Drosophila melanogaster: one gene and its partner. The protein of the gene in region 1 interacts with the protein of each later gene in a pairwise test. Each region holds a gene or a part of one and is shown on either strand. Other genes may lie near its edges.

The links.
Region 2: the proteins of CG1246 (region 1) and CPT2 interact in a two-hybrid assay, tested with the Drosophila melanogaster proteins (one large-scale study listed by BioGRID).

What each region holds. Positions count from the first base shown.
Region 1 is NT_037436.4:2,634,763-2,651,402, forward strand, and holds CG1246 (uncharacterized protein), read left to right. Parts: upstream 1-13,285; 5' UTR 13,286-13,383; exon of another isoform or gene 13,384-13,408; intron 13,409-13,459; exon of another isoform or gene 13,460-13,650; 5' UTR 13,651-13,769; coding exon 13,770-13,832; intron 13,833-13,901; coding exon 13,902-14,025; intron 14,026-14,093; coding exon 14,094-14,255; intron 14,256-14,309; coding exon 14,310-14,443; intron 14,444-14,494; coding exon 14,495-15,325; 3' UTR 15,326-15,428; downstream 15,429-16,640. Other genes in the region: MEP-1, read left to right, coding at 2,371-4,791, 4,853-5,110, 5,264-5,509, 5,575-5,754, 5,816-6,164, 6,250-6,254; CG14949 (uncharacterized protein), read right to left, coding at 7,651-8,125, 8,433-8,584; CG1143 (uncharacterized protein), read left to right, coding at 10,679-10,702, 10,871-11,737; ProRS-m (Prolyl-tRNA synthetase, mitochondrial), read right to left, coding at 15,429-16,198, 16,257-16,518, 16,580-16,640.
Region 2 is NT_037436.4:2,974,017-2,991,239, forward strand, and holds CPT2 (carnitine palmitoyltransferase 2), read left to right. Parts: upstream 1-7,005; 5' UTR 7,006-7,106; coding exon 7,107-8,170; intron 8,171-8,231; coding exon 8,232-9,026; intron 9,027-9,143; coding exon 9,144-9,288; 3' UTR 9,289-9,535; downstream 9,536-17,223.

The DNA of each region.
Region 1 (16,640 bases):
GGTTTGAGTTCGGGGTCTTTAATGATGATGGCGATTGGTTAGGTGGCTTGCTCCTTGCTCCGGATGCCCTTCGACCTCTACCAAGTTGTCGATCATGGGGGAGGGGGTGGGCAGAGGTCAGGGGACGGGGATGGAAAATGCGCCAGAAGCGGGTTACTTTCAAATTTTGTACTTGCATATAGACCAAATCGCACAGTCACACACACACGCACACATGCATAGGGCGACTTACATACGGACATACATATTTAGTTGTATGTATACATATAGATAGATATGTACGATTGTATATACCCCGGGGCCGTGGGTGCGAAAGAGAGGGACAGCGTAATCTGAAATAAGTTGGAGGAGAAAGAAGAAGCATCAGCAAAAGTATCGTGATGAGTATACAGTTTAAGACGCTAGTGTGTGTGCTAGTATGAGTGAGTGTGTTGGTGAGAGGGGTGCGGCGGCGGGGGAGTTGCAATTTGCCATATTTATCTGCGATATTTAAAGCCATCTAGACTTTTTCGCGCGCTCTGTTTGAATTTCCGCACATGCCGATTCGCATAAATCCATCAAAGTAAAACCGGCGACAAGCAATGCCGTTTCAGTTTTGTTTTGTTCATTTCGTTCGTGGCGCGCGTACAATTGTCAAATTTGTTTTCCCTCCCATTCCACGCCATTCCATTCATGCACACACACACACATGCACAAAGGCCCATGTGTGCGGGCCATGCGCTTCACACGCTTATTCGCTATTTTTGAGAGGCGTTCAAGTGAAAGAGAGCCCTCTCCATAGCCGGCAATGTAAAAGCTATTACCGTTACTAGAGAAGGAAAATGAGCGAAAATATGAATTAAATTAAAAATTAATTGCGAAATCAGCAATTGGCACCTTTGGGTGGCTCACTATCGATGGCCGGTAATCGATAACCGATAAGCCGTGCAACCCTGCGCGCGCCCTGCTGTTCGTTGCAACTCTGTTTTTGCTTTTTCCGCCTCACACATTTCCAGTTTGCCTTGCCTGCTTGTTCGTTCCTCGTCTCTTGTGTCTCCGCCTTCGGCGTTCTTTCTGCTCAGTTTTTTTTCTCCAATTAAAAAAACCCCACGCAAAATTTTCGGATTTTCCCTGGTTATTTCGTAAAGAAAACGATCTTTCATTTATTGGCAGCTCTGTTTTTTGTTTATTGTGATCAAGGGACCAAAAGGGAGGCGAAACAAAACAACAACCTGCCGATTGTGAGGGGAAAATGTGAATGTAAGTGCCGCCAAGTAACAAAAACAATGCTAAATGCCGCTGAAAATCGTCTTTAGTTTGAAAGAAACCTAGAATATTGAAAAGTAAGGTGAGATCCAACATAGCAGCAGAAAAAACACACACACATACGCAAGCAAGCGCGGCACACACACGCACACAGGGACAAACACTAGCGCAAAAACACGCTCCTGTACCAAAAAGTACAACAACAACACCAGCAACAACAGCGGTAGTATACTCCACCACGCCGCCAGCCGAGCAACAAAAACAACTACAAAAAATAAAGCTAAAGCCAAACGTCGTCATCCGTGCCGCCCCCCGCCCTGCGTCCCTCCCCCTGTGCTTACAAGCGTACAAATATATATGTGCCGTATATATAGATTGTATATTTGTGTGTGCAGGCGGTGTGTGTGCGTTTGTGTCTGTATGTATGTCAATCGTTTTGTTGGCTCTGCTCGGTAACTGTTCGTTTGTACATACAAACATTTCACATAAACATATATAAATATATGTTTAATATATATTTATAGGCAAGTGTGTTAATACCAAAGTATATAAATTGCATATATCGCCAAACCATAACTCCCCCCCCCGTTTCTGCATTCTCTTTTTTCTTGCAGTGTAAAGCCATTTACATACTTACATTACATATTAAATTGTATTTTAGTTTTAATCCAATATGGCAGCCATTTTGTATCAAACCATTCTTTCAACTTCCCCCGCTCCCCTTGCCCTACCGCTGCTGCCCTGTTTTTGGTCCGCCTTTTCTTGAGTTCACCTTCTTAATTCACCTAGATTTTCAAATATTTTTCGGTGATTGTTAATTTTTCGCCTCGCCTCGCCCCTTCGCCGTCCTCTTTCTGCAGTTTTAGCTCTTTTTATTTTTACTCTTCGCCCGCTGCGCTTTGTGCTGCTCATTCGTTGCTTTTTGATACTTTAGTTTTCTTTTACGTGCCAATTTTTCCGGTTGGTCTTAAGAAGAAGCTGCCATTAAGTAAAATTAAGTAAAAATTTAAATTCCCAACTCAGTTTTGATAATTCTTCAATTTTATTGTGTCTCTTGCAGAAACACAAACAGCTGGAAGAAAAACCGACTTGGGCACATTCCACGGAGCAGAGAACGGACCTCAAATGACTGAAGTTGATGTCGTTTTGCCGGAGGGCGTGGCCGAGCCCACGACAAAGCTTGCCAGCGCATCAAGTTCCCCAAAACAGAGTAAACCATCAGCAGATGATGTTGAGCAGCAGGTCACAACTGTGGAGGACGATGAAGAGCAGGTGGTCGAGGAGCAGCAGGAGGAAGATGTGCACTTGCCGGAGGCCCCCTCCAATGAAAAGCTCGAGCTGCTTTCCGCGGGCGGCAAGGATATCAGTAAAGAGGATGTTGCCCAGGCATCTCCACAAGCTCCAGTGGCCGACGAGATAATGGAGGTGGACGGGACCGAAGACGTGGAGGAAAACGAAGTGGAGAACGACGACGAAGACTCACAGATTACCAGCAGCAGCTCGAAGGAGCCAAAACTGGATGAAGAAGACGAGGAGGCTACCACAAACGGAGATGGAGATCACGAGCCAGAGGACGAAGACGATGCCCAAAAGATCGGTAGCACAGCGGAAAACAGCTGCGAGGCCGAAGATCCCCTGGGAGCAGTCACAGTTCCTGACGATGAACTGGCCAGCGGGAAGAAAGCGCACCTAGATGGCGAGGAGAGCGTAGCTAGCGAAGGGGTCGTCGAGGAAGAGCCCCCAGCAAAGCAGGAGAATGGGTTTGGGGCCAGTCCCAACCAGAAGGAGAACGGCCAAGCCAGCATAGCAGAGGCCAGGGCGGCAATAGCTCCCTCCGATGGTGGTGTGGTTAACCTGGATGAGGATAGTGACGAGGAAATGGAGGATATTACGGAGCACAAGGAGCCGGCCAAGCCCACCGAAAAGGCAGCCAAACCGGCTTCCTCTAGTGGTGGTGAATCCTCCGACGATGCTGTTCTGATAGCCTCCGATTCGGATACGGAATCCGCAGCTCCACCGCCGCCAGTAAAGAAGCTCCCGCCAGTTGTCAAGGCCATCCCGCCCCCGCCCGTGCAGGATGATGAGGATGATGATGATGACGACGACTGCGTCGTGATTGAAGATGACACACCGCTAAGTATTTCGCCCAGCGGCAAGCGCAAGAGCGACCTAGATGACCTGCAGCTGCAACAGCCCAGCCACAAGAGACAGCGAAGTTCGACGCCCTCGGGAATGGGCCAGCTGACCATTAAGGATGCCCGCTCGTTGATGCCTCTCGATGGCAGTCCGAGCTCTGTGTCGGGTCCCCGAGATTCTATCTACCCGGTGACCATAACGAATGCTGTGACGGGAGCGGCCACCAATCTGGGTGTTGTGCCGCCTAAGCTAGTTCCCATGGCGGGCGGCATGAGCGCCAGTCCAGTGCAGCTGAATCCGCCAACGTTATCGCTTACCGGGCTGCCCAGCATGACCAACAACGCCAACCTGCTGCCCGGTCTCACTGACGACATGTTTGTCCTGGAAGCGCCCTCCTTCATTGTACCCTACATCTATGAAAAGCCACCACGCGAAAACATCTGCGAGGTCGTCAAAGCAATTGAGACCAAGTATGCGCTGTCGGCTGAGGATTTGGCCGAGGCAGACAAGGGCGACGAGTTCGACATGATGACCGAGCAAAACAAAGAGGACAAGCCAGCGGATCAGGCCGATGAAAGCGGCAAAAAGAAAAAGAAAAAGCGAGGTGACGACGAGTCCTGGTCGGAGCAGTCTGACGATGATGACGACGAAGACGACGACGACGACTCGGAGTCGGGCGTACGGACTAAGGTGCTGATCAAGGAGGCAAACGATGACCTGAGCGCCTTGAAGGTGGCCATCAAGCCCGCCGCTGCCTTGGCAACAGCGGGCGGAGTGTCGGTAAACAATCCGGGCGGCAACAAGCCAGGACAGGAGAACTACTTTGAGAGTCCGTTGGGCAAGTTCTTCATGGACATTGGCGTGGGTCTGGTGCAGGAGTACGTGCAGTCGGATCTGCTGCGTCTGCAGAAGCGCAAGATGCGCAAGGCGCAGGTGCAAAATTCCAAGGAGTTTGAAATGGCCATCAATGCGCTCTCTGGCAACCTGCAGGCATCCAAGACGAAAAACGCGCCCTTCAAGTTCCGGATGAAGCGATGCGAGTTCTGCAACTTTAAGTCGGAGTCTGCCATGGCGATGGCTAATCACTACGAGACGCCGCACATGAACGGAGTGCTGTACAAGTGTAACTTCTGCACGTTTGAGATACGGAACGCCACGGAGATTGTCTACCACATGGAGGCTGTGCACAACATAAAGGCGCGCCTTATAAAGCCACTGCCCTACCACCAGTGTCCCAACTGCGGCTTTGAGGATAATGGCAAGGCAAAGCTGGCCCGACATCAGCCCGTCTGCGCTAAGAAGTTCCGGCCGGAGCTTAACCTGGCGCCGCCAAACGACTGGGAGGCACCGGCTAAGATACCGCGCATTAAGCCTCGTCATGGTCTTGTGGGCACTGCCACCGCCTATCAGGTAGGAATATCTACACCTAAGTCTTTTGCAATAAGTTTATAATCGGTTTAATCCCTTCCAGGCTATGGCAGCACAGGCGGCGGCACAAAAGGCCGCTTTGGCCAACATCCAGCAGCAGCAAGCGGCGGCGCAGGCGAGGAATAACCTCCAGGCAGCCGCGTTAGCTGCCCAGAATGCGGCCAAGATGCGTCAGCGAGCCCCGCAGCCACCCAAACAGAACATAGTGCGAAATCCGGCGCCTGTGCGCGGAGGCAACGCGATGAATGCGGGACTCTCGTTACCCAACAGCTATCAGCTGGCAGCCGGACAGCTTGTCCAGGTAAACTACATTTATACGCTCTATAATCTACATTAAATTATTTAAACATTGGAATTGGGTTTTAAAGGGTATATGTGTAGCATGTTTAGCTGTACCAAAATAGACTCTCCCATTAAAAACCGGTTTTAATCGAATATCGATCTATTTATACAGGCATCCAAGAAGCCGATGGCCGGACAGCCCAGCATCTCGATAACGCCATTACCTCGTCAGAGCTCGGTGGGCGCCGGTGCGGGTGCCTCGTCCAGCAAAGCGCCCCAAGCGGCAGCAGGAATGAAGCCCGGCCAGAGTCCCAGCGGTAACAATAAGGCGCAATTTGTTATTTGCGAGATCTGCGATGGCTACATCAAGGATCTGGAGCAGCTGCGCAACCACATGCAGTGGATGCACAAAGTGAAGGTAGAGCTGAGTTTCCATTTTCCCCGATTTTCCCCTTTGCTAACAAATGCTTTGTTTTGCAACAGATTCACCCCAAGATGATCTACAATAGGCCGCCTTTGAATTGCCAAAAGTGCCAGTTCCGGTTCTTTACGGATCAGGGATTGGAGCGACACTTGCTGGGCTCACATGGCTTGGTCACAAGTTCCATGCAGGAGGCTGCCAACAAGGGCAAGGATGCTGGTCGCTGTCCGGTCTGTGGAAGGGTGAGTTTTTCGTATAAATGGACGATGAAAACAATGTCTAAAATCGCCGCTCTCCCTTTAGATGTACCAATGGAAGCTGCTGAATCACGTGTCGCGCGATCATCATATGACCCTGAAGCCCGCTCACCTGTCCTACAAGTGTACCGTTTGCACGGCGACCTTCGGCATGTACAAACAGTTTGAGACGCACGTTTACACCGCCCACAGTACCGTGGCCAGAAAAGCGATGGACAGCAAGAAGAACAGTGCGCAGTCCAGCGGGTCGGGATCTGGGGCAGGGATGTCGCGCAGTTCGCTGGGAGCGGCCAATGACTCTCTGTTGAAGCCGCTTAAGATCAACGATGAGATCACCATCATACCACAGCCCGCATCGAAGCCACGCATCACAAATATGGAGAGTCATGTCATAGGTACGTGATTTTCCAGATCAATGGATTGAAAATGTTTAGAGTAACATTATGATAATATTTTAATAATTTGTTTTTGTCTTTGCAGATTAAAGAGCATGTTGGATCAACCAAAAACCTAATCTCGCAACGTTTGCAGCATTGACAGCGCTTTAACATTAGTTTCGTTTTTAAGCCGAACGCGACATTGGCGCCTCACGGTCCCGCTCCTTTACTTCTGTAAGTCGGATGTCGGTATGCAGAACAAGAAAATAATCAGAAATTGGGGCGGATGGTGAGGGAAAAGCAGAGTGGCAAAAGCCGTCGCCGTTGAAGCCGTTGACCACCTGACCTGATAAAACGAGGGACAAGCCAGCGTCACTTGCTGCGGCTACAGGATACGCGATACACATAACGCTAACGGCATAGATTCACTAGAGATACTAGTTACGGATTTTAGTTACATACGTTTTGGAGTGTGCACATAAGTTGAAGTTGTAGCTACTACTAAAATATACCACATACATACATATATATTTAACTATATTTAAAGCATATTATGAAGAAGCCGCCAGAGCGCATCGTCAGCATGATGACTATGTAAATTAGTTAAAAACTAAACTATTTATACGAGAACTACGAGTATCCAAATGTGTGTTGCAGTATGTATATACATTTTGAAAAGGTCCCCGCCCCGCAGATAGATGACGTGCCTCGCTTCGTTCTTCTCTCGAATCTTCTAGCTTATTTGTACGAACAGTCATGATGATGATGAGGCAGAGAGGAGGAAGTTGCATGAAGCGAAGCGTGGGGGGGAAGGACTCTTCTAAACTGATCTGAGAGACGACGAGACGTTCGACATTTTAATTTTTGTGTACAAGTTTAAACTTATATTTATATTACACATTATCTATTAATATTAAAATATATATCATCTATTACCACCTAAGATCCCCATGTACTACAGTTATAATGCAAAACCACACACACACAACCAACCAACCAACCAACCAACCAAGCAAGCAAACAACAACAAACAAACTGAAAATGAGAAAATTAAAAACTTAGTTAATATAAAATGCTACGACCAGAGCAGATTTTCATTGCACCTCAAGGGGCTCCAGCCGGGCCTCCGACTTTGCTCAACTCCACCATCCGCCGACGTCAGAGGTGAGAAGTGATGGAAATGCTTTTAGCATTCGCCACTCACATGACTATGACCACCTCGCACAATCCGAAGACCAGATAACACCAGTTGGAAAGAAGAGAGACGCCTCATTTACCTAGCACTAATGCGAAATTTATTTTTACTTTGCCATAGAAAAGTGAAATTCCAACCTTGTGATGTGACCACGGCAATGTTGCCGATCTCTTGTCCTCGTCCAGTCTTTTCTAGCACTGTAGGTACTTAAGTGTGAAGCCATAAAACTAAGTAGATCTAGAGTATACGTATTTATAGATTGCTTGGAGAGCAACGCACTGCATCACGATGAGATTCCGCGGAGTAAGCCTAATCCTCGGGTTCCGTCTGGGGCACCTCGTTATCGGCAGCTGGGTTCACTGGCACCGACTGGCCAATTTGCGACGATGGCGGGAACAACTGGGCCGCGTGCGTGAGCTTGGCCAGCGCATCCTGATCCAGAATCTGTGGCTTGTCCGCGGCACTGGTGTTCGATCTGCTCAGTTGATAGAAGGCGGTGTCGCTGTGCGTGATGTTCACAATGCTTCCGGTCAGGGGAAGGGTTTCTAGGAGTTCCTGGGGGCTGCTGAAGGCTCCCAGATTCACGGGTGCGATGCCGGTCAGCACTTGACCGGTGACATTGGTCTGGATGGGCAGCGGGATGTTGCCCAGGTCAATGTGACTCTTGTTGCTGTGCGTGTCGTAGAAGGTCAGATCCACGCGTTCCTGGCTCTCAAAACTGGTGTCATTCTCGCCCACCTCCGTCAGGATGCCGATCTCATAGACCACCGCCTTGACCACATAGCTGGAAGGAAAAGAAGAAACGATTAGAAGACTTTCTACGTGACCAAAAATATATTAATTAGTTAATTCTGGTGATTTCTACGTCATTTTCTACATATATGTATTGTTTCAATTAGCACAATTTATTTTAAGGTAAGAATACAAAGTAATATGCGTGGAAATATTATGACTATACTAACTACTAATATTGAATTTTTCTAACAATCTTTTCAAGTTTATAATATATCACTTATTTGTTACTACTTTTATTAGATATTCTGGCTATAAGAGTTCCAACTATTGGATATAACTATCCTTTCTAGACTTACAGATTCTTGGGCGTATCGTTGACGCTGGCCCTCAGCTCCTCGATGGTGGCGTTGTCGATGCCTGAACTGGCATCCAAAACGGGCAGGGAACAGCCGATGGCCAACAGCATGCCGAGCACGGCGGCTCCAAACACAGCCTGGTGGACCTGCATCTTAAGGTTTAGGCTTTTTGGGGCTAAGGGAATACGGCCTGCTGCTGTAGCTCTGCTGGGATAGTGGCTCCGGTGGCTCGCCTGACTTTCGCGCGTTTAAAGTTAATTAGTGCAGATCGGAGCGCTTTTATAGCGACTGTGCCGCTGGAGCTTCGGCCGCGTCCGCTGGCGAGGCGCGATTCCGCGTAATTATCGGCATCTGTTAATTGCCCGACGGGTTTGCCACTCTCCGGGGTCTGCGTCGCCGGTTTCTAGGCGCGGATTCGGACCTGGCTTCCGTTTCGGCTGGACTGACGATTGTTTTCGAGCGGCCCAGACTCTAATTAATTGTGCTCGTTTTGGGAGCGTGTCCCAGGGACTGTCCCCCAGTCGGATCCCCACCAATATTGATCATTGGCAAGGGCTGTCTACGCAATTCTCGCGCCGTTGTTTACTCCTCGGCTCTGGCCAAAAATAAGCCCATAAACATTGCACCTCCGGTGACGCATTTGTCGGGATCATTGCATGTGGTCTGGACACGCGCCCGTCTACTAAGATTATTTCACATTAAGCATACGCCCCGTATGACGTACACTTGTGCCTCGATCGCAGAATATCAAGATCGTTTGCATTTGATATGCAATGTGAGAGTTTTATTCATCACATGCCAAGCTTCTTTCAATTTGAATCTTTCTCCAAATCACGCATACGCCTTGTGTGGTAGTAAAATATTATTCTTGTATGAAATGTGAAATGGCTATAATTCTTTGATTCGTTATTTCATAGTATAATAAGTTTACTGCGGTTTTAATCAAGGTACTTTGTACAATTTAGGCATGAGAACTTTAGAATTTGAAAGTACCAATATTTCGTTGACTCAGGCCGAGAACTAGAGAGCAGATGTGGAGATATTGCGCACATCCCCCGCCGAATGCCTCATAGATTCATAATTAAATTAAAAATTTGTGATTTTTATAATTCGCCGAGTTATCGAGTTAACCCACACTAGAGTTAACCGCCTAAAGCCGCCCATACTCCGGCATAACCAGCCAGATCTTGACTTTCATTCATGATTGGCCGGATTCTGCGTTTTTTTTGGTCGCCAGTCTTTCTCCCGCAAATCGGAGGCACAGTGAACGGTTTGCGGTTTTACGATATGGAGGCAAATCGATTTCCAGGCGCGTTTCTTTAACAAGTTTTCACCTCTGCATGGACCTTTGTTTCAGCGGAAAATTTTTGAAATTAATTTGCACATTTCGCATATCAACTTTGTGCCCCGGTGATCTCATGGCGACCGCTCTAATTATGAAGTGTTAAAGAGGCGCAGTTGTAATTGGAACAAAGTGCACTCATCCCAGGGATGTAAAAGTATCTCGAAGATACATACATATTCCGAAAATAATTTGCGGTCTCTCTTTCTGTGCGCTTGTTTTGGCCTTTCAACGTCTTCAGACTGATCTTGTTTTTATTTTGATCGGCTTCTTGGAAATTTAATTTTAGTAAATATATGTTAATTTGCGCAATTAAGACAATCAAACTTGGACTTAACAGCGCCGCTCTAAGATGTGTTTTTAAAACTCCTGGGTCACATCATGTAAGTCCTTGGAATATATTTAAACTAATTGATACAAATTTGAGTGATGAAGGCTCAAAATATTATCATTAATTTGAAAGAGGAGTTATATTTTGATGAAGATGTGTTAACTAGATAGAAGGATTATGCGCTGAGTATGATTTATCTCACTTGAAAACTACACTCATTGCATTCCTATATTTTAGATCTGAGGAATGGTCCAGTGTTCCAGAGATTTTTTTACAGTGTCGAATAAGTGAAGCTGGACAACAAACAGAACACGGACGAATGACAAGTAGAATTGGTTTGGGCCCAAACATTGAGGGAGTAGCACGCGCAGGCACCAAAACAAGTTCGGCAAACCAAGCGATTAATGTGCTAACTGAACGTTATAATAAAGCTTAGTCGCAACTTTCAGTCGGCGGTTAGGCGGGCGCCGAAAAACTTTAAAAACTCACCGTCCACTGGGCTGTAAACTTATTTCCGATCTGAGCTTGGAGCTGAACACAACCAACCGGACCAAAGCAGCAGTAGCAGTGGCCATGAAGTGCACGTTGCTAACCACCGTGAGTGAAGATCTTTCAAGGACTTTAAGATATGAACTTAATCACTGTGGTTACACCAAAGAAACTACGGAATGTCCACCTAGTTGAGAATTGAGAATTATAATATTAAAGCTCAGTCATGTTGTTGCTGAACTTATCTAATTGTTCACTTTTCTACTTATGTTTTAGTTGCTGGCGACCCTGGCGGCTTCTTCGTTGGCCGCACCCTTCGATTTGGGTGATATCTTCTCGGGCTTTCAGCCGCTGGAGAAACAGGATGTGGTCAAGCGGCAGGTGCAGGCCAATCCCGATGCCGAGCTGAAGCAGATCTCTTTCCACGGCCTGATCGGAGATCTGGAGGACAGTCTGTTCACGTCCGCCTTGAGTCTGCACCAGGCCAGTGCGCCGGGCAGCGAGGTGGAAGAGGTGAAGCCCGAATCCCCGGCTGCGATCACTGAGGACGAGGAGCACGCGCTGACCAAGCGATCCGATGAGTCCACGCCGGCCACAGCTGACGATGGCCTGGCACGCAAGATTCTGCTGCAGACCACCAGGAAGGTGCCCGATGGGGAGGATGGTGTACCCGCCCACTTGATTATCGATCATGTGTCCGTGCAGCCACACAATGGTGGTGCCCTGCCACTGATTCCCACCTTCCAGGTGCACCACACCAAGCTGATCTCGGCCACCATCAAGGAGGACTCGAATAACGACAGCAGCGATGGCAAGCAGACCAAGATTAGCATCACCAAAACATCGATTACGTCCACGGCGCCAATTGAGAGTGTAGAGGAGGCGGTGGCCCTGGCTGGATCTGTGACAAACACCGAGGAAGCCACCACCAAGGTGGAGACGACCACAAAGGCTGTCGAGAAGGAGGAGGCTGACAAGAGCTCCACCACTATCCTGACCATTGTGAGCAGCTCCACCCCCACCACCACCACCACCACCACCACGGAGGAGCCCATTCAGAAGCTGAAGAAGGACGAGGAGAAGTTGAAGGAGAAGGTGGCCGAGGTGGAGGCCGATCCCGTCATTCTCTCGGCTCGCGTTTAAGCCGGTCGACCTCTGAACTCTCTAGCTGTAAACCTCATCTCCAACTCATCCCGCCACTCGAATATTTATGACACGCCAAGTTCAATTAAAGTCATGTGATCTGATCAGATCCGAAGTCTCTTTATTTGCATTTCCAATTCACACGCTGCGGGAAGTGATGAACTGGGTGGCCAGGTCTACCCGGGGATCTCTGCCAAAATTGAGGCTCTAATTGCTCGGATAAGCACAGGCCCTAATGAAGCTAGCGGTTCATCCAGGCATGAACGATATATCCGAAACCTTCCCAGAATCTCCGGTGGGAAAAAACTCACGACGTATGCAAATATTTCGCTTCCAAGCAAATAATACTGTATGTTCTCTCAAAGCGTGTTGCAAATGTGGACTGCAATTGGGTTAATAAAACATTGCCAAATTGTTGGAGCCCGCGAACTATCCAATCGATGTGTTTATATATGGCCCAAAGTGTTAATCAGCTTCAGCCCGATGACCAATGTCATTAGTCAACGAATTGCGAATCAATTGTTTGCACTTTGATTAAAAAAAATTGTGGAGAAAGCGGCATGAGGTTTTGTTTATTGCTGATATGGCCAAATACTTTTCAAATCAACGACCCTAATTATCTTACAATAGATAATATTTCTCAAGCATTTATACGACGGAGGTTGTAAATAAATAAGTAATGCACAATTGAAGGGTGTGAATTTGTGTTATAGAAAAATGTTATTTCCGTTCTTTATCTTATGTTTGCAAATTTATTGTTGACTTTTATTAGGCAGCTTTTGAGAATGTTTATAGAGATTAAACTCTTAAACAGCCAAATCATACAAAAAACTATTTTTACCTATTTCTATTTAAATAATCTACTACCAATTTCCAGAAGCCCATTATTGTGATAGAAACCATATTATTATATTATACAAATGGTATAATTCAATTGAATTGCAAGGTGTGAATATGTTTTATTGAGTAAACTTTAATTTCCCAGTGGCAGCATGTACAAAGAGTAAACAAGGTTTATCAAAACAATTACCGCTGCATGTAGTTTTTGAGGTGCTTCTTTGGGTGTATTATGAATCAGTTCTGATAAAGAAAACCCCCGATGCCCAATCAATCACTTACAACTTATAAAGACGATAGCCAAAGCACACGAGTCACATAACTGAGTGTCAAATATCAAGTATACGCAGCGTGCGCGTCCAACTTGATATGTCAGTCACTTGTCGTTCCGATAAACTCGCCATCAGCTGTGAGTTAAAATTTAGTTCCTGCTAACTGGTGGGACACCTTTATTTGTTTACCCGACTAGGGGCTGGTTCGCCTATATTTACAAATGATAAACCTAAAAGCTCGTTGATAACGCACTCAATTTGTATTACAAAATAAGAAAGATATTTGCACTCAGCGCAGCTATTGTGCAACTGCGGGTCACAATCTGGGGTAGTCACCTATCCGTTCTGGTGCTTTTGATAACAGGTGTAACCCTTAAATTCATTAGGTTTATCTTATCGCTTTGGAAGAGCGAAGCATTTGGAGACCCAGAGTCGATGGCCATTCGATGGAAGAGCTCAGTCCAAAGGAGGCAGCCGGCGAACGCGTTTTGCCTACCATATTCCACCTCCGAGAAAGCCGCGAATTCAATTCCAACGGTGAGATAACGATTTGTGATTTGGCGTGAGTGTGTTTCCGTTGTTTGTGGCCAACATTGCGTATACTTTATTGTAGTGACGACAGCGTAATTTCCCTTTGTGATTCATCCAATCTAATGATAAGTCTGTTGTCCTCAAGTGTGGCAAGGAAAGAGCTAGGAATGATTGAGCTATCCTGATTCCATATGCAAAATCCACCAAAAAACTAATCAAGCTGATTAGATAGACCTCGCATTGACGAATTGTAATTTCAAATTGAATTTATAGCCCCAAAGCGTGCGTTGTCTTATCGAGTAGGCAATTGGCTGGCCCAGCGATCACAGGTTGCACAACCCATTACCCGGAATAGCAAAAATCCCGCGCCGAAGGAATAGCACTCCATCAAGATGGCCGGCATGGGCACTGGATTTTCCAAGTGCTTTATACTCTTCATGGCAATTGTCATACTCGTGAGTGCCATAAAGATTGCTCAACATTCCAATTGCGCTAGTCAGTAACATCATTGATATATATTTTAGGTCCAGGGAGTTGCCTACTTGGGCTTGTCCATCTGGGGCATCACCTTCCGAGATTGTCCGGATGGCGTTACTGATTTCAGCGAAAATCCCTTCAAGTACGCCATGGAGCTCATTTACTTTGCACGTGAGTATGGGTTTGTTTCAAAGGTTTCACAGAACGCTATTGCAACATATTATTCAATTGCGCTACAGAGGAGGAATGTGGTGAGCCGGTGCTGAAGGTGGCAGACGAACAATTTAGTTTGAACATAGATTGGCAGACGTCCTATGCCATTACCAACCGGGAGTTCATCTTCATGATAACCTACGCAGTTATTAGCGGAGTCTGGGTAGCCACTTCGGTGTTGGTAATAAGTGAGTTATGCAAAAAGCCATTTAGTTTTTATAATAACTCAAGATCCACTCCAGCCACTTTGTGCAATCGCACCACCAAGCTGATCTCCGGAGTGGTCTATTGGCCCTGGTTCCTATCCGTGCTAGCTGGCAGTATCCTAGATGTGGTGGCCACGGTGTATCATGGAATCGACATAAGTCATACAACGGTATGGTAAACTATGTTCCAGTCTTCATAAATTATAATTCTTACATTTTAGTCCATGAAAGATGCACTTGATTACATTGGAGTCTCATATAGCGAAATTGTTAGTAATGTCTGGACTCTAATGGAGCCCTTCGGCGTATACTTCTCGACGCCATCGATTCTTCTACTGTGCCTCACAAGTCGCGTAGCCATCATCTGGCTGCTGAACATCATTGGAGTTACCTTCTGTCTCTCGTTGTCCGGAATCATGGCGGAGCAGAATGCGAAATCAGCCGCCTTGAGCAGGAGCCAGGCTCCCACCCGACAGCCGACACCACAGCCTGCGGTGGCATTAGTCCAGCCGGTGGTGGAGGCCACGCTAGTGGAATCCATTCAGCCTTCGGCCCCGCAAGAGAGCCCTCAATATCCGGAGCAGATCCGACCCAAGCCGCTGCCCATTTTCATTCCCTCGGAGCAGGGTGCCCAGCGTCCAAACTCCCAGCAGTTCGCACCCGGAGATCGCACCACTTTGCAATCGCCGGTGATGGTGCTACCACCACAAGTTCCTCAGCAGAGAGATGTTGTGTCCCCGCAGCCTGACATCAACACCTATCGCACCACCGAGGCTCATCCCGACCACCTCAACTATCCACCTTCGGAGCCACAAACTCCACGTGCTCCTTCGCCGGCTGTCCAACAACTGGCGGTGACGTCGCCACTAAACAATCGCTACAGCGAGATATATCCTGCTCCCGTAAATCCCCGCGTTAGCGAAGAGCTGCGCAACCAGATGCCTTGGTCGTACACCAGCATGGTGACTAAGCCACCACCGCCGCCACGCAAGCCACAACTTCAAGTACAGATCTACCCGCAGATTCCGGAACCCGACTACGCGGATCACTAGTCATTATAGTAGTGCACGCTGCTCGGGCGTTGATTTGCGTTTAATCAGTCTGGATGCGCGGTTGTAAAAAGTTGTGTGTTATTGTTACCTTTATTGCATAAAGCTAAAGCTGATGGCCAACCGATCGACTTTTACTTTCTTCAGTTTCACTCTGAAAACATCCTCGTTCTAGACTCTTTTTGTGCTGGCTATGTTCTGCCACCAGTTTCAGGGTTTCACTGAAATCGAGCTCATATGTTTCTCCTTTGCTGGTGTGCACTTCCAGCTTGGGGGAATCCAGACGGGCTGACTTGGCTCCCACTACAATCGTAAGCGGATGTCCGAGACGCTTGGCTTCCAGCAAACGTTTGCCGATAGTCAGCTCCTTGCGATCATCATGCAACAACTCCTGGTGGCCGCAAATCTCTCCTACATTCAGAAGAAGTTCATTCTCTATCACTTCCGCTTCCGGCTGTTCCTTGCTTCCTTGCTTGGGTCCTATTAAACACACATCGTAGGGTGCTAGGAGCTTTGGCCAACGGAGTTCGTGGTCGGAGGAGAGGACTTCCAGAGCGGCAGCAATAACCCTAGTGATGCCAATACCATAACAGCCCATGACCAGCGATTGCGGCTTGCCAGTGGTGTTGAGAAAAGTGGCGCCCAAGGGTTTGGAGTACTTGTCCCCCAACAGGAAGGTGTGGGCCACCTCAACTCCTCGAACTTCTTTCAAATCCGAGCTGTTACAGCTCGGACAGCTAGCTGGGGCCTTTACAACCTCAGAGTTGCCAGCAAAGCCGCAGGAACTGCACTGCAGTAGGTTGTCCTCGCCCACGGGCGATACATAATGGTATTCGTGGGATACACTGCCACCCATTATGCCAGTGGCGGCATTCACTGTAAATGAAATCTATGTTAGTAATGCAGTTTTTTTCGGTACGGAAATTATATTTACCCTTAACGAAAGGAACCTCCAGCTGTTTGAACAACCTATCGTATGCAGCATTAACTAGTGTGTAAGTTTCCATGGCTGTTTCTTCGCTGACATCAAAGGAATACATGTCCTTCATTAGGAATTCCTTGGCTCGCATCAAACCAAATCGAGTCTTAAGCTCATCCCTGAACTTGGGACCGATTTGGAAGAGTCTCAAGGGCAGCTGCCGATAGGAAATAGGTGAGGTGGTGGCCAGCATGGCAGTCACTGCCTCCTCGTGGGTCTAATCAATGAAATAAGTGTTTATTGGAATCGGAAATGAAGAAAACTGCTCACTCTCTCACTGGACTCATGAGGAACTGCTTGCCGCTGCGATCCCGCACCATGTAGAACTCGGATATATCG
Region 2 (17,223 bases), 330 kb from region 1:
GATATAAATCAGGAATAGATCTGGAATGTACGCTCGCTTAAAGGAAACCAAATAAAGATTGCAATGACCAACTGCGTTTTGAGACTTTATTAACTACATCAGAAGTATTGGAATTCTAATTAACTACAATATATTGTTGTACTTTTTGCTAAAATATAAACTTGGTTTTATTATTATGTGCTTATTAACTAGAAACTTCTGTTTTAATGTCAACAATAGATTTTTTGATTTTTAGGATTTGTACATAAAAAAGTTAATTTTTTTATTAAGCATTTTTTCATTCTACGTGTTCGCTTCAATTGAGCAGACAGTTTTGCGGCTGTAGGCACTTTCCATGGGCGGCTGTGGAAAGTGTGGCTTCAACTTTTCCGGGGAGAAATTTAATTTGCTGCACTTTAAGCTGCAGGCGCCACTTTGGCGCTTTTCTTTTTCCTTTGCAGTTTTCACGATTTTCCATTCTTTTTTTTTCTGACTCCTCCGCGGGCAGCATTTCATTTTATTCAGTCGCTGGTGTGGTTCGCGAGTTTTCTTGCAATTTCTTTTTTAATTTCGCTCAAGTTAGTCATGCGAAATGGCACTTGATGCTCCTTGGTTATGCGTGTATATGGGCATCCTTAAGCAAGTGTGTGTGTGTGTATGTGTGTGCGTAACTGTGTCTGTGTCTGCGTGCCACTCCGCACATTCGTTTGAGTTCCATGGGAATTAACGCTAAGCTGCAGGATCCATCTCCTTCGCCATTCCTTCTTTGGCTGCCGCCCTCTGCAACTCCCGTTTTCCCGCCTCCGCCGACTTTTCCGCTTTTCCTCCTCGCGCATTTGCAGTGCAAATGAAGAGCAAAATGGCAACTACAATAAGGATAAGGACAGCGGCAGCAACAGTCAATTGTTGTTCTTAACTCGGTGGCAACAAGAAGGTAATGCAAATACTTTTGCCATCTCCATGGCAGACGCACACAAAAACACTTGCCACTTTATGCGATATGCCACGCCCCCTTCTATAACTTGTGTTTACGCAGAGAAGGGCGTTCTGAATTTTGAGAATATAATTTAAAGAAGTTTGAATACGAAAGCTTTTAGGGGATAATCGTATGTTCGCTGTTTACAAATTGAATCGTCCCTTTTTTATAAGCAGTTTATGATTTACAATCTAACGCTGGAATGTCCAAAAACGTATTAAAAAAATTTTACAACCTAAAATATGCCAAGCTTTTAATATAGAATGTTTTAGTTGAATAACACTAGAATGCTAGCAAAAAGTGACCTTCGCTGCCACTTTGATGCCAAAAAGCATTTTCATGTTGCCTCAAAATGAAGGCTGCAATGGCCAAAAAGTTGCCTTTAAGTAGCGGTTGCTATTCTGTGCCATGCATCAGTCACAATTTTAGCAGATCGTCACTTTTAAGCTTTAATTCTGAAATTGTTTTTAAAACGAAAAATAAGCTTAAGCAAAGCAAATTTATTAAATAAAGCAAACAAGGCCTTGTTGGATGCTAATTTTTTTTACACCTGTAGAACACAATACTGTCTGGAATTCAAATCACTGTTCTGCACACGCTTGACTGCACTAAACACTGTTGAACTTATTGCCCAGCATTCCGTTTAACCGGATTGATTGCTGTCTTAAGGGTAAACCTGTGTCTATATACATACATAGTCCTGAGCGAGTTGAGTTGACAACTGCCGAGGCGAAGCAATTTGCATTCTGTGCGCGGCCAAAAGATCCGGCATTCCGACGTGTGTAAGTGGATGCTGCTAGCCTGCAATCTCGGAGTCAATGCAAATGCAGTAAGTAAATGCAGAGTAAATGCAGAGTAAATGCAGCAGCGTCTGTGCCGGCGGTAAATATGCAAATAAATGCATGGGACCGGCCAAGTGCAATCACGTGCCCTCGCAAAAATGCAACTGCGACAGGATCCAGAGTCCTGCCATCCTTGGCATACATAATTCAGTGCCATAGCCACTCGGTTGTCTTCCCTTTTTGTACTGTTTTGTTTGATTGCATTTCAATTTGCAGGGTCTTTCTTTTCGATTTTCCACCCACGCGGAAATTAAGCTGCAATCGAATGGACACAGAATACACTAGTGTTTTTTTTATATAAATACCAATTTACCACAGTTCGTGCCTAGATCTGATTTGCATATATTTCCATTTCGGCACAGGAAGTAAGGTAATTTAATGGACAACAGTACTGAAATATTGAAATATGTGTAAACAAAATATGACAGCTTTTCATTGTGAAACTATTGAATAATTAAAGGTTGTCAAGGGAATATAAACATTATTAAAAATTACAAATGAAGAATGTGTCGTATGTTTTAGCAATTTCGTTCTATTGCGTATTCAACTTAATTCCATTTGATTGCTAAATGCTCTTTTTGCAGCCATATAAATTCCATTAGAACTCGCATTTGAACAAATGGTTGGGCCATTCAAAAACCAGCCGCAATAACAATTTTCGAAAATGGCCCTTCAAAAAGAATCAAACTTTGTTTGAACTCCCGTAAATCCGTCCGTCTGCCTTTGGCTTCCACTCAATTGAACATTTTCGGCTCTGGCAAATGAAAATCGCTTCAAAAATGTTCGCAATTGCAGTGCCCGGCCATTGGGATTCGTTTACAAACGGATTCCTACCCCCACATGTCCTCTGATATCACGAAATCCTCGCAGAGGGACAAGGCTGACGTCATGTCCGCATTTTTCACGAAATTAAGAGCGGATATGGGGGAAAATATTGCAAAAATAATTCAAAATATTTTGAGTGATCAACGAAGAACCGCGAATAAATAACAACAGCATGACGCAGGCCTGTGGAAATATTTTCCTTTTTGCTCGGTGACGCAAATAGTGGACCGTTTTCTGCTATTTTTAGCGGAAGGTCCGGCGCCTGTTTTCATAATTTATGTGAACTTGATTTATTTGTGCGCATTTCCGCTCATTTCGATTCCATTACGATTGCTGCTCCCTGGCTATTCCCAATCCCCATAAACCCCCATTCCGCCTGATTAATGGTCGTCAGCACGACATGTGAAAAGTGTTGCCTACTTCTAGGGACCTGTTAATTGCCGACCATAAAATTGGCCAAAACGTGCGCCGGCACGCGAACTAACTGCTGCTCGTCCTGCGCGAGGGGAAATCAAACAATTCAATCTGCTCGCAATTGCTGAGAACAGGATGAAGGCCAAGTCCTCTGGACTCTGGACGTGGCCTAACGAGGAGCACAAGGCTCACTCAGCCAGGGAAAATTAAATTTACAACAAACAACATCAGTTACATGTCGTCATGGCGGGACTGGAGCCTAAGGGCCAGGAGCAGGAATCAGCAGGAATTTGGGATCAGGGGTCAGGGAATCGGTGACTGAAACTTACACTTTAAAAAACAAGTAGCCCTATAATGTAGAACCATCCTGATGCATGTTATTTTAGACCTGTTATGGCTATCCTTGGCGCCGAAGGTCCTTCGATTTTCTGGATATTTTTAAAGCATATATTTTCCAAGTGCACAAAATGAGAACGATAGGCAGGAGTTCACATGTCGGCGGCGCTTCCTTTGGGCGAGTCCTGAGACCTGGCGTTGCCTTTATAGCAATTTAATGTGTTCTTGTAGCCGTTGTTTCACTCTTGTGAAAAATGATTTCGCTTTGCTCCACGCCAAAGCCAAAAAAAGCATATAAAATAGAGGAAAAAAAAAACGAAGCTAGCAATTTGTCTGGCCTTCTAGGAAAATCATCACAATGGCGGTTGTTTAGTGGGCGGAATCCCAGACTTGGCTTTTTGCAAAAGTTAAGGAATTTCGCGTGGATTTACATACATGCGTGCTATTACACATATTTAGTAATTGGTATACCCATTATTTTTATTTTTTTTTTTGTGTGTTTTGGGCCTTGATTTTGAAGAAGGCGTTTCGCCTTCATTACTTTATTTTCGTAGCTCCTTAAACGATTTGGGATTGTGTTGGCATTGCTTTGCTAAGGGTCTTTAAGGTCTGTTTAAATGGCAGTAAAACTACTCGACAATTTCATACAAGCTGATTAATAATATTCACTATCACACTTTATTAAGGCAACCAAGATTTATAGATGCCCACGTTTCCAAACATTTTCCCAGCATTCCACAATGCCCCCGTATATATGCATGCCACACCCAAGAATATCAATAAACTTTGTGGCCAGCAGCTATTGATTGCTGGTGACATTGAACCTTGACATTGCTGCCTGGGAAAAGGATTCCCCAGCGATTGTTCCTGTGGCATATTAATTATGCTGCTGGCCATCGTGGCTCGTGGCTGATCATAAATTAATGGCTCGGGTTCAGTGTCCCTAAAATTGCAGCAATTATCTGCATTATTTTCTTGGGGCATGCCAGGCAATTATGAAAATTAACATGTTTGTGCACAATAGCACACAAGAGCCGCAAACTGTGGCAGCAAAAAGCTTTTACATATTCATCAGCCTACGATGTCTTCAAGGTCTCAAAAAGTGGGTGGAATCCTGTGTATTTCGTCGGTTTTCGGCGTGTGGGTTTTGACTTAATCTGCTTGCTTTATTTGTCATGCACGTACAGGTTGGTGAATTAAATTTGAATTCCCCCCACCGCGCCTGCCTGCGGGGAAACAACTCGGGAAAAACAAGAGCAAATTTCCCAGACTTTCCACAGCATGCCGTCCTTGTTTCCCAGCTTCGTCGTTTTTGCTTATATTTTGGCTACATTTGATTTAGCTTTTTAATCCGCCTGCAATGTGCACTACTCTGAAAAGTATTCAATAAATTGAAATTAAAATAAGGCATTGCTAGTGTGTGGCAGAATAATAAATAAATCCTAATTAGTAAGCACAATTAACTTTTAGTATGTGCTTATTGGAATGTATTGCAATAAAAATAAAAGAACACATGTTATATAAATTGCACTAAATAATGGTTAGGCTATCCTTATGCCTATTTAAATATTTTAAAGGTAGCATAAACTCCAACACCTCGACCATCGCATTCCCATTCTACAGTGCAACCTCCTACAGTGAGGCCTGAGTTATTGCCTCCATTTCTTTGGGGCTGTCAACGCGGCCATTTGAGAGCTATCTCCGTTCTTCATGGCCATGTCAATGATTTGCTCGACTGGAATGCGGCATTTTTGCTGAGCCATCTATGCAAATCTCCGTTTGTCCGAAGGTCGACCAAACCCAAACCCAAGCCCATTTGCCATTGTCATCATGGGGCAAATGGAATTTGCCAGTTAACTCTTCCATCTGGTCACCTCGTGCTTTTGCCTGATTTTTACGCAGTTGTCAACCCGTCGAAAGCGACTTATTCGCCACACCTTTCAGGTGCAGAAAGACAGGAAGGAAGGAAGGATTCGAATCTGGATCCCCAGTCACGCTGTGCGTGCTAGAATGGTCAACAGTTTTATTGTCCGGCAAAGGACTCTGGAAACAAATGTTGATTTCTGCGCACAGAAAAGAAAAGGATTTTTTAGAGGTTTTTTATGTGTTTTCGCATCTGGCGGCGACAGTTGAAATTTTATACTACCGTTGGTTGTTAATGAGTGTCGAGATTGTATGCTTTTTAAACACATTCAAGGGTCCTTGAATAGATTTTGTTATTAACGGCGAAAAAAGTGGAAAAAATATGTCACAAAAGAGCGCCTTTAAATCTAACTTTGTGTTTACATTTTATATCAAAAACATTAATTCAATCTGTGCTAGTATGCAACATATTTCATTTAATTTTATTTATTTATTTTTCTTTCCAATTGAAGTCCTTTATCCCACCAGTTATTTAAAGTCGCAGTTGGTCTTTAAAATGCGCGGGGCAATGGCAAAGCAATTACCCATCGATTTGTTCGATTCGGAGGCGCTCAAGTGCTTAAGCGTCCTTTCACCTTTTTGGCAATGGCATCCTGGCGATTTTGGTCCGTGGATAAACAGCGTTTTGTTTGCATTTGCGTGGCGTTTATTTGTTTGCCCGCTGTTGATGTCTGCTGGTCGAGGAGCTTGGAGCTTGGACGACGAGGGTTTCCCGGGGAAGAAACAGATCTTCGGAGGGGTCAGGACATCTTGCAGACGTGGTGGGTCAAAGGCTCCTGCGGGTATTCCAACCGGTCACTGTTCCCAGGTAAGTCGGAAAAAACACAAATGGTTTACTTAAATTACGGGGCTAAGAAAGAAATGAAAATGCGCATAAAATTTTTATACTTTGTCGAATTTCACGAGCGTTCCTTCCCATCGATTCATCTGTGCACTTTGCAGTCGACGCTTGCGGAATAAAATCCACTGCCCCTCAATTCCTCAAATTAAGTAAAGTGAGTAGGGGAATCCCCTTTTCCATTTAAATTTGCATAAGAGGCATCGGCGAAAGCGGATGAGGATGCGGATGGGTTGCAGTGTAATTGGGCGAAGTGAAATTGCGTTAATATTTAACAAGCCAGCGAAAGTGCAAAAGCGAAGCGCATTAAATGCGGAAAAGGGATACGGAAACGTAGTCCTTCGGGGCAAAGTGCGAAATTATGCGGAGTTCAGGGAGATCCGCAAGCCCTTTCCTTTGCGAGCACGGACCTCAAATGTTAAATGTTAGCCATAAGGTCAGCCAAATGTGAAACTCGAGCCGTGAAAGCGAAATGTTTGACCGCGAAGAGCAGCGCTGATTTTGAGTGGTAATTTCATTTCTCATTATCGTCGTTATGGTAATTCAATAAAATCATGACAATTCAAAATTTCGTGCCCGGCATGCGATTGGAATCTGATTATTGCAAATTCAATTTATAGTGCTATAAATATAAAAAATTTACAAAAGATATTAAACATGAATTTTAACCCATATAATATAGTACAGTTATACATAATAATAATAAAATCCGCAAAGATCTATTTATCGTAAATTTCAAACATATACGATATTCAAATATTTTGGCGCCATTACAGGTACTGAAAAATACCAAAAATACCGTAAGGTAACTATCGATGACGGCGATCAGCTGTGATCATCAATGGCGAACAGCTGATCTGGCTCGCGAATTTTCATCTTGTTGTTGGACTTTCTGTTGTGGACTTTGAAACGTCGCCTCTCGAGTTTAAACAACAAAAGTTACTCAATTTGGAAAGCCATCGAGTGGATAGCCATGTTTCGGACCCGGGTGCACCGCAATCTGTCGTGGATATCGACGAACTCGTCGAGGACAACGACCACTCATGGCCAGCACTACCAATACCTGCAATGTTCCAAGCTGCCAACGCTGTACTTTCAGCGCTCCTTGCCGCGATTGCCCATTCCTCTGTTGGAGAACAGCTGTCGGCGTTTCCTGGAGGCCACCAAGCCACTACTCTCGCCGGCGGAGCAGGCGCAGACCCAGCAAACGGTGGAACAGTTTCGCCAGGGGATCGGCATGGAACTACACGCGAAACTCAAGAGCCATGATGCAGAGAACAAGCATACCAGCTACATCTCGCAGCCCTGGTTCGACATGTATCTAGCCGATCGAGCGCCCCTGCCACTCAACTATAATCCGCTGCTGGTGATGAAAAGCGACGCGCGACCGGAGTACCAGCAACAGGTGGTTAGGGCTACCAACCTGATCATCAGCTCGTTACGGTTCTGGCGATCTCTGCAGGCGGATCTCCTGGAGCCGGAGGTGTACCACATGAACGCCAAGAAGAGCGACACTTCCAGCTACCGCAGGTGGATGAAGGTGGCTCCCAAAGCCTTTGCCACCTACGCGTCTTATGCCTTCAAGGCCTTTCCGCTGGACATGAGCCAGTACAACCGGTTGTTTGGCACCTCTAGGATTCCTAGGATCGGCAAGGACGAGCTGGTCCAGTCACCGGACGCCAAGCACATTCTGGTTATGCGCCGCGGTCACATGTACGCCGTAAATGTGCTGGACTCCAGTGGATACATCGAGAGTCCCAGTGTGATTCTGGGCAGACTAAGGGCTGTGCTTAAGCTTGATGCAGATCGCGAGGCAGCCAGCGTGCCACTTGGTGTTCTGACCTCCGGACAGCGTGATGAGTGGGCCAAGACAAGACAGCATTTTGTTAGCAACACCAAAAATGCCGATCTTCTGGAGAGAGAGGTGGATGCGGCTCTGTTCTGCGTTTGTCTGGATGGCGAAGAAGATGGAGTCTTTAACGAAAACCAGCAGGAGCCGCTGCTCAAGCATTTGCTGGCGGGAAAAGCGCAGAATCGGTAAGAAGTCGACATTATGTAAAGCCTGCCTGATTCACAAAATCATCCTGTTCTGTTACAGTTGGTTCGACAAATCCATTTCCCTGCTTATAAGTGCAGATGGAACAACGGCTATTAACTTCGAGCACTCGTGGGGCGATGGAGTGGCTGTGCTTCGCTACTTTAACGAGCTCTACAAGGATACTTTGAAGCAGCCGTTTGTATCCACGGAGACAGTGCACACTCCCGCCGAAGGCGATTTTAGCAACGTGCGGCCCATCAACTTCGAAATCGACGATGCCACCAAGTCGGCCGTTTCGGAGGCTTATAATAAAAACGCCAGCATTGTAGATAATCTGGACATGAATGTGCTGAAGTACCCACACATCAACAAGCCCACATGCAAGCAGTATGGCCTAAGTCCGGACTCCATCATTCAGCTGTCCTTCCAGCTGGCTTATCGCCAAGCCTACAGCGGCTATGTGGGCAGCTACGAATCCTGCAGCACATCCGCCTTCCGACACGGACGTACCGAAACGATGCGACCGTGCACAAATGCCACACGGGACTTCTGTGAAGCTATCCTCCAGCCGGAGAGGAGCAAGCCCAGCGCCGGAGAACTACGAGCAATGATCGACAATTGCAGCAAGGTGCATGGCCAGTTAACCAAGGAGGCGGCTATGGGCCAGGGCTTCGATCGGCATCTCTTTGCCCTTCGGCACACGGCCCAAAAGGAGGGAATACCAATTCCCGATCTCTATGAGACTGAGGCTTACAAGCGCATTAATAACAACATCATTAGTACCTCAACACTGGGTTCAGATGCCCTGCTAGCGGGTTCCTTTGGTCCGGTGGTCAAGAATGGCTTCGGAATCGGGTAAGCTGACTGCCTGTCGAGATTGGGTATTTGAATGTACAAATGCAGCACCTATTTTTCAAGTTGCCTCGACAAATTGTTCACTAGCTGACAGTTGATAACCCATTATTCTTTCAGCTATTCGATTCAGAACGATTTTGCCGGCGCCATTGTCACCACGTACAAAAACCAGGCCGATGGGAAGGTGTTCATAGACAGTCTGGAATCGGCATTTGATAAAATTTGCGCTGTCATCCAGCAGAGCAGCAGTAGCAAGAAGTAGGAGAAAATCGTGAGGAGTCCGACCCCGAATCCAATGAATATGGCTTTAACGTAACAGGGAGATTTATTTTGATGCTTTTACATTGTATCCCATGTGTCTGAATTGCAATATCTTTATCTACAATTTATAGATTATACACTGAAAACATTCTACCCCATCTAAAGCATCTGTGTCTTTGCTTTTATACCCGCTGCTTTAATGGCTTTTGCGGCTGATGGGATAATAAATTGGCTAACATATTGTTGGGATGCTGCTGGCTTGACATTTGCAATTGAATACGAGAAATAACTCACGTTTTAAAACAATGCTGAAAACAACTTTAAAGTAAAGAGTTTAAGAAGTTTATATTAAAATTGAACATAGAGTTATGATAAACGAGCTGAAGTAAAATCGAATAAGAGCGGTTGAAAGCATTTAAGATTATTTTGCGTAAGAAAATGTTTTTTTTTTAAGAAAACATCTTTCGATCCTTTGTTTTCCTAAGTAAAATCAACACACAGAACGATGTATGGCACAAACCCTTTTGAGTTGGTTTAACTATTGAGTCTCCTTTTAAGCATGCGTAAACTTTGACCTTTCATTGTCACTTAAGTTAAACAAGATGTGTGCCCACGCACACCCTGTTCCCAACTTGTTTATCCCGGAATAAGTGGGGGAAAAACCCTTGCATTAAACAGTTTCTGATTAAAGATTTCCCACACGCTGACCCAGAAAACTTGGCCACCAACCCTTCGGGCCAAGTTGTTGCCTTTCGATTTGTGTCAGCCGCACACGTCAATCGCGAACTCCGCCTAAACATGGCGAAAAGTTTATCAAAACGTTGCCTTTTTGGCTGGGAATGGGGATGTCGCTAAATGTGCTGACGTTATCAGTTGATTTATCGTCAAATTTTGTGCCAACTGGCGTGGCGTTGTAAAAATTAATTAACTTGCTCGCCGAGTCTTCCTGATACGTACACGATTCCGCCTTAATGGGCGGCATTAAAAATTAAAAAAGGAGACATTTACGCGGCGGAGAGGTCATTAAAGCCAAGTAGACTCTTCTGCCAGTGGCGGACAATTAAAAACATATTAAACTGACGTGCTGGAAAGGATGTGCATGTGGATGTGGCTGTGGCTGTGGATGCGCAGTCTGTGTGTGCGAGGATGTGGGTCGATGATAAATGGGCGGTCGCCAGGATTTAATATTGCGCATACGCCGCCGACGCCCGGCAGCTCATTAAATTATTCAAAAATGGGACTCCACTGCCCGTCCGTCCAGCTGGCTACATAGTTGTGGCATTATATGTATCCTAGTACATCATCCTGTTGGTCCATTGTGCTGCGGCATGCGACATGTGGCTGCGATAAAATGTCCTGACGTGAATCGCCTGCTGATGAGTTTCGGACTCAGAGCGCCGTTTAACTTTCCACTTCTTAATCAAAATTGCGTTGAAAGTCAAAAGGTTCGAGAAAGGCCAGGCTGGAAATCAATAATTGTTCTCCTAATTGAATATTAATATTTAATTTTCGCTTTCTCGCTGTGTTAAAGAACGCATCATTAGGCCGGGCATCTGTTGCCAAACTTATCCTGGGCAAGGGCTGCCCGCAAATTGATTTATGGCCGGGTGGTGGATACCCCGCTGGATTTAAGCACTTGTCTTTTGTTCGTGGCAGGCAGCTTCAATTTGCGGCAACAATAATATTTGTTCGACCACAGCAACCGCACGACCGCAAGGCTGTTAGCAACTTCTCAGTGTCCCAGACCACCAGCCGCAGTGCGTATGCGTAATCTTGGTCAAGCTATTGCCGCATGTTAATGCACTCGGGCCAAAAGACAAGCCGCACTTCCGCACCACGGGCTAATGAGCAATTAATATGGAAATCAGTTTTGGCCATTACAAGGTGCCTGGCCAATTATGTTGCGAACTGGTCCGAATTAATGGCCAGGTCATGTGGGAACGTGTCTGGAAATTACAACTGCCCGTTGGTCATACGGTCCTCCGGAGTTAGATTTTATGCTCCAATTTGTAATGAGTTACTAGAGTCCTTTGATACAGGTACTCGGATGTGCTCTGTATTCAGTTGGCAATTGTCATGACTAAAATTAAGCTGACCGTAATTTGGTTAAGGTAACTCGGCTAAAAGTACTCAAGTGTTGGTAGCCAACAACAACGTTTAAATAATTACCAGTTTTTCTCCCCCTTATTTTCAATAAAGGATCATAGTCTTAAAGGCTCTCGAATATCAAAGTGTCAGCTACTGGAAACGACGTCTTAAGCCCAGCCGCAATTTTTCGGGGCGAGCTTCCTTGTGTAATTAACATCAGATTTATGAGCAATTCATGGAAAATGTCTGCACAGGTGTCTGAAAAAGTACTTGAAACTCAATTCAAGCAGCTCGTGCTTGTGTTAAGCATTCAAGTTAATTGGTTTTGCCGCAGGACATTTGGTGAGACATGAGCGCAAACAATGAGCTGGTCCTATAAATGCCAAAAGCAATGCGGAATAATCATTTCTAATTGCCGGTAATTATTTACAAAATTAACAAATAGTCAATGAGCCAGCAGCGGAAACGAAAGCCAAAGGAAAATTAGCAAAACAAAATGGGTGAAAATATATTTCTTTTGGGAAAAACTAGAAAAAGAAATGCGCCAAAATGAGGTAAAAACTATTTGAGTTCGTTTTCTGGCTATTGATTCACCTTCCGATGGTTGGATGTTAGCCAGTTTTTCCGAGAGAGGAAAACAAAGAATTCAACTTGAGGTAGTCGGAAATTGGGTACATTTGTTTATAAACATTTTGGTAAACAAAGGCAATTTGAAAAAAGCCGAACGATAGATAAAAGTAAATAAATGTGGGGAGAAAAACAATTTTATAGTTACACATTATTTCGACTTGGGCAAAGAAAAAAGAAATAAAAGCACAACTTATAAACATTCAAACTTTTGGCAGCTACTTTGAATATATAAGAAGCGAAAATCAAAAGTGATTGGTAATGTTTATGACATTAGCAGGTAATTAATTGCATGGAAACGCAAACAGAATAAATTCGGAAATTTTCATAATAATTAAACGGAAACTGTTCTTGGATTGTGTGGACATTGGGTGAACATTGTTATAATTTTGTAGGGACTTACTTGTATATGAACAATTTTAATTGGATGTGTAGTATTTATTTTAGAAAAATAAAAATCAAAAGAAAGTCCATAAGTCGGCAACATTTGAGTATAAACACACCGCTTAGCGTCATGTGGCCAAGACACTTGTTGTGTGCGCCGTTGCGGGATAAATGCAAATGTTTAGGGACACGGCCAACGGCGCGTATGAGTCATTTTTAATTAAGATGTCAGTCACACAATGGTCCTTAGGCTCGTGCCCTATCTGCCCGGCAACTGGAGCATATACGTATCTGCCGCATCCTGGACGATTAACCCCATACAACCACGTGGCAGCCAAGGGGCCAAGTCAATTAACTTGAGGCACAAAGCCGGCCATTGTTGCGCAACTCGAGTCAGGACGAGTCTATTGTGCCTCGTCACACATGTGGCATACTTGTTTACATTTCCACATGCCCGGTGCCACAGTTTTATTATCATCGTGGGCTCATCACTCAGTGAAACTTGAGTTCTATTCGCTGGAGCCAAGGAAGCGGAAGTCACGCACCCAAGGATGTGCCCCACCTCCTCCCTGGCGGAGGTTAATTCAATTTACTGCCTCGTATGCCTCAAATTTTTGTGATTGTCTCGGTACACACACGTCCAATTGGAGCAGCCATTCGGAAATGCAATTTACCACCAAACGCGAAAAAGTTTTGAATACTTCTGTCCGCCCCGAAACACTCGCGCATTGGCGCCAAAAAGTTTCACAATTCACTGGGGCGAAAATGCTCAGAGCTCAATGCTCCAGCCGGAAGGATCTGGCTCATAGAGTATTCATGAAATTTTAGTTGCCATTTGCTTATGCCCACACCCTGTGATTTAAAGCTTTGCGTGGCATTTGAGATACTTTGCTTTCTTGATTTTATTGGATTTAAAACGCAATAAATACAAATTTTTGAAACCAGCTAAGCTTACTTCAGTTATTATTTACTACAACACGAAAACATAATGAATTAAATACATTTCATGATTTTTAAGTATAAAGAGCTTAAAGATTGTACATCTTTAGTTCATTCCACTGACTTCCAAATGCTTTACGCAGTATTACTAACTTGACAATTCATCCCTGAGTTTCCACCCAAGCTATATATAGTTTCATGTATTTGAGACCACAGCAACCGAGCGCCAACTTCAAAGCAACATTTGATTTATGGACAATGGAAATGTCTGAGCCCAAGACCAGGCGACAGCCAAATGGGAGTTGGCTTCGAGCAGAAGTTATGATAGCCCGAAGCGACTCCACCATTTCCCCCCGTCAAGTGCGTAACTTTCCATTTGGAGCACGGCTATATAGAGAAAAATTTTGCAATTACGTCTAGTGAATTATTTACAGTGCAATCTTACTTGATCCTGCCATACTTAACTACGAAAAAATCGTACTATGCAGCTGAATAGTTAAATATATCGTTAAGAATTAAATTATGAAATTTCTGCGCTCATCATGGCAATATTTTTCCGCAGTGTATCCGGCTGAGTTGCACGTAGAACACTCACATTCTCGTTGGCTTGCCAACTTTACGGCCGATGAATGGAAGGGGGCGTGGTCCCGGGGCTGTGGGCCGGCGAATAAACAAAAAACACATTGACCTCGCCCAAGAATATTGCAAGCCATGCAATAATTCTGCTACTGGCCTTTATGAGGCAGTTGTGTTTCGTCTGGCCGGGATTTCATTACTCCAGTGTATCCTTTATAAAAGGGAATGCCTGGCACCCTCGAAAACTAACCAAACGTGCGGAAGTCACATTTTCTCGAAGGTGAGGGGTGGTGGGTATCTGGGTCAAGTGTCTCATATTTCATTGTAGTAATTACATTTCGCTTTGCCTCTGGCTGCGTTTTACCCAGAGATCTGGAATTTCAAACGTTTTGGCCTTGTCAAGCTGGGAAAATGTGATTTTGCCATCGCTCAGTGCAATGGAAATGCAGCTGACAGGGAAAATATGAATAGTGGTGGTGCTGGTGGTGGTGGGGGTGGTGCCGATGGGAATTGATTTTACAACCGCGGCGACCGAAATCCGCAAACATTTTCGCATCGAAGTCACAATTGCCACACACTCGTGCCGCGAGTATATTGACCTTCGGTCCGAAGGACCCTCCTCTGGCCACGTCATCATCGACTTCCTCTGCTGGCCAAGAAAATAGGGACTAGCATGTTTTCGCCATAAAGCAGCAAAGCGGTTATTCCTGTAAGCCATCAACAACCCAACCCCCACTTCCCCATCACGAGCTATGCCATTGTTGTCGTCTAAACTCGCTGGCAAGTGATGTGTGCAAAGTGGAGATGACGCATACGCCCCGTCCGCCGCTCGCGAAACAAGGCCAGCTGCAGCTAAATGTTGCAGGCAATTAACCGTTTAATTTGAAGGCAGTGCCTAACCCGTTTTGGAAAACGGAAAATTTAATTTCAAGAAAGCTAATCAAGGGCTTCAACTCAAAATCGTGCACAGCAGGAAAACAGGACCGTAGGTTAACTTAAAAACGGCTTCAGGCTCATCATACTTAAGTTTGTTTTGTTTATCAAACTAATCTATAGTGCTCCATAATGTTTTTTTTTAATAATTATTAATGCTTTAATGGCTTTGCTGACTGTTATTTATTAACCCCGCAAAATTCAGTGGCTGTTTCGTTTTGACATTGTTATACTTTGCTAATTTTTTCCTTTGTGTAGACTATTTTTAGAAGGGAATCGGTGTGGAAGAGCCTTATCCTGGCAGCCGGAATACTAGGCAATTTGCATAAATTTAACATGAATCAATGCTGCACGGTGTGGGGGGAAAAGCGGAACGGAGCGGAAGGAAAAGCGGGCGGGAAATCCAGACGGGGGAACCATAAAACGACGAAAGTAGGGAAATGCGTGAGCGAACAATGAATGAATGATTCAAACACACAGAGTGCACATAGATACATACATACATACACTCCTACATAGTACATAGCAGTTATGAGAGGGCGTGAATGGCCTACGCCTAAATAAATCAATAGGGAAACCAGCCACAGCGCGTAAATTAAGCCGAGGAAAATTGAAGGAAAATTGCAGTGCGCCACATAAAAGCAGCCACCCATTTTCATAGCCTGCGAAAATTTATGCAGATGCGATGAGGTATTCCTAATCCTCGTGTAATGCCAGCTAATTTCGAATATGTCTGACTGAATGTGAATTTCTATACCAACAAAGCATAATAAGTCTAGCAATTGCAGAATTTAGGCTTAATAAATGACGCTATAATGTTTTATGTTCAAGGAAGTGCAATGTTATTGCTATCATTAAAACATATTTAAATTAAATGAACGTAAATTCCAGTTTATTAAGCTAAACGGAAATTGGTAGACATATTTAATTAGAAAGAACGAATGAAATATTTAATGGAAACTATTTAATATGCGTCATCTAATAAATATTAATTACATATCAACATATCAATAATCAACATATGTGATTACGTAGGAAAAAATGCATAAATTAATTTGCAAAACCAAATTAAAACAGCTTGTACCATTAAATATTTAACAAGGGTTTTTTCTATTACTTCAATTTCCTGACAGTAATTACATTCTATTTATGATTTGATTGCATTCAATTCAATTACAGCTTTTGCATTTGTGAGTATAATTTTGAATAAAAAATTTAAGGGTTTCTAAAACGTTTTTATGGATGAATTGTTTAATGTGATATGTTTCTCATTTATGTGATATGTTAGCTTTATTCGTTTCTCAAAAGGCAGTTCCAAGTTTATTTCCTACAACAAATCTTATGTCATCTTGTTCTAGAATTTTACAATGCTGCTTGAAATTCATTTGCGGTTCAGTTACATAACAATAAATTATGATTTTTTTATTATTTTGAATGAGACCAGTTGATAGCCACTTAAGAGTTACATTTGGCATGACCTTGAGCATGGTTTTACCCTACCCTAAAAGGGTAACCTCGAATTTAATACATTTCCCTTACTAATTGTAAGACTTTATTTTTCACGTAGAGGATTTTTAAGGCTATGATATTTATGACTAGGCCATAATTCAGATAGTATTATATAATATTATCGAAGTTTTTCAAAACTGCAACTTCAATGGACTCCTTCGCTCTTCTTCGCTTTTGACGTCATGTTGTTTATGGTATCTCATAACTACGGCCTGCAAGTCGAGACCCCGAATATTCATAATATTTTCTGGTCTGTTATTTTTGCTGCTATTTCTTGGCCGTTGGGTGGCGGCGCAGTTGGAATTTAAATATGTAATTAAGTCCGCGGGACAAGGGGCTAGGAAAATGGCCAAGGAAAATCGCTCGTTGCTGGGCAACGCATATTAAAACTGAGTTTTTATTTCCATTTCCCTTCGCCAAGCTAAGGGGGGGGCCAAAAATAATTTGTGGCTCGTCGATGACCGCATGGCACTAGGCTAATGAAAATTAAATTGAATATGCGGCTGCCCGTTATAATGGAATCCAATGGCCACATGATTGGGTCGCAGTTGCGTGCAAATCATGGCCGCGATTAAGTGCAAATGAAGCCTGATTAATTGCTAGCCGATTGCAACGCCCTCCTTCCAACTCTGGAATTATAGCCACAAAGATCCGCTTGCCCAGTGCAAACAAAAGGCCAGCAAATGTCATATTTTACGGCCACATTTGCTGGCCTTGGTCCGCCATTGTTCCGGTGGCACGCATAAAAAGCCAAAGTTGCGACCATGAAAATTCATGGCTAGACCGACATTTTACTTGCTGCTGGTTGGAATATTAGTGCTGGATCGCAGGAATTCAATATAGCCTGGCGTAGGAGGTTTTTAATAAGCTGAAAGAAAAA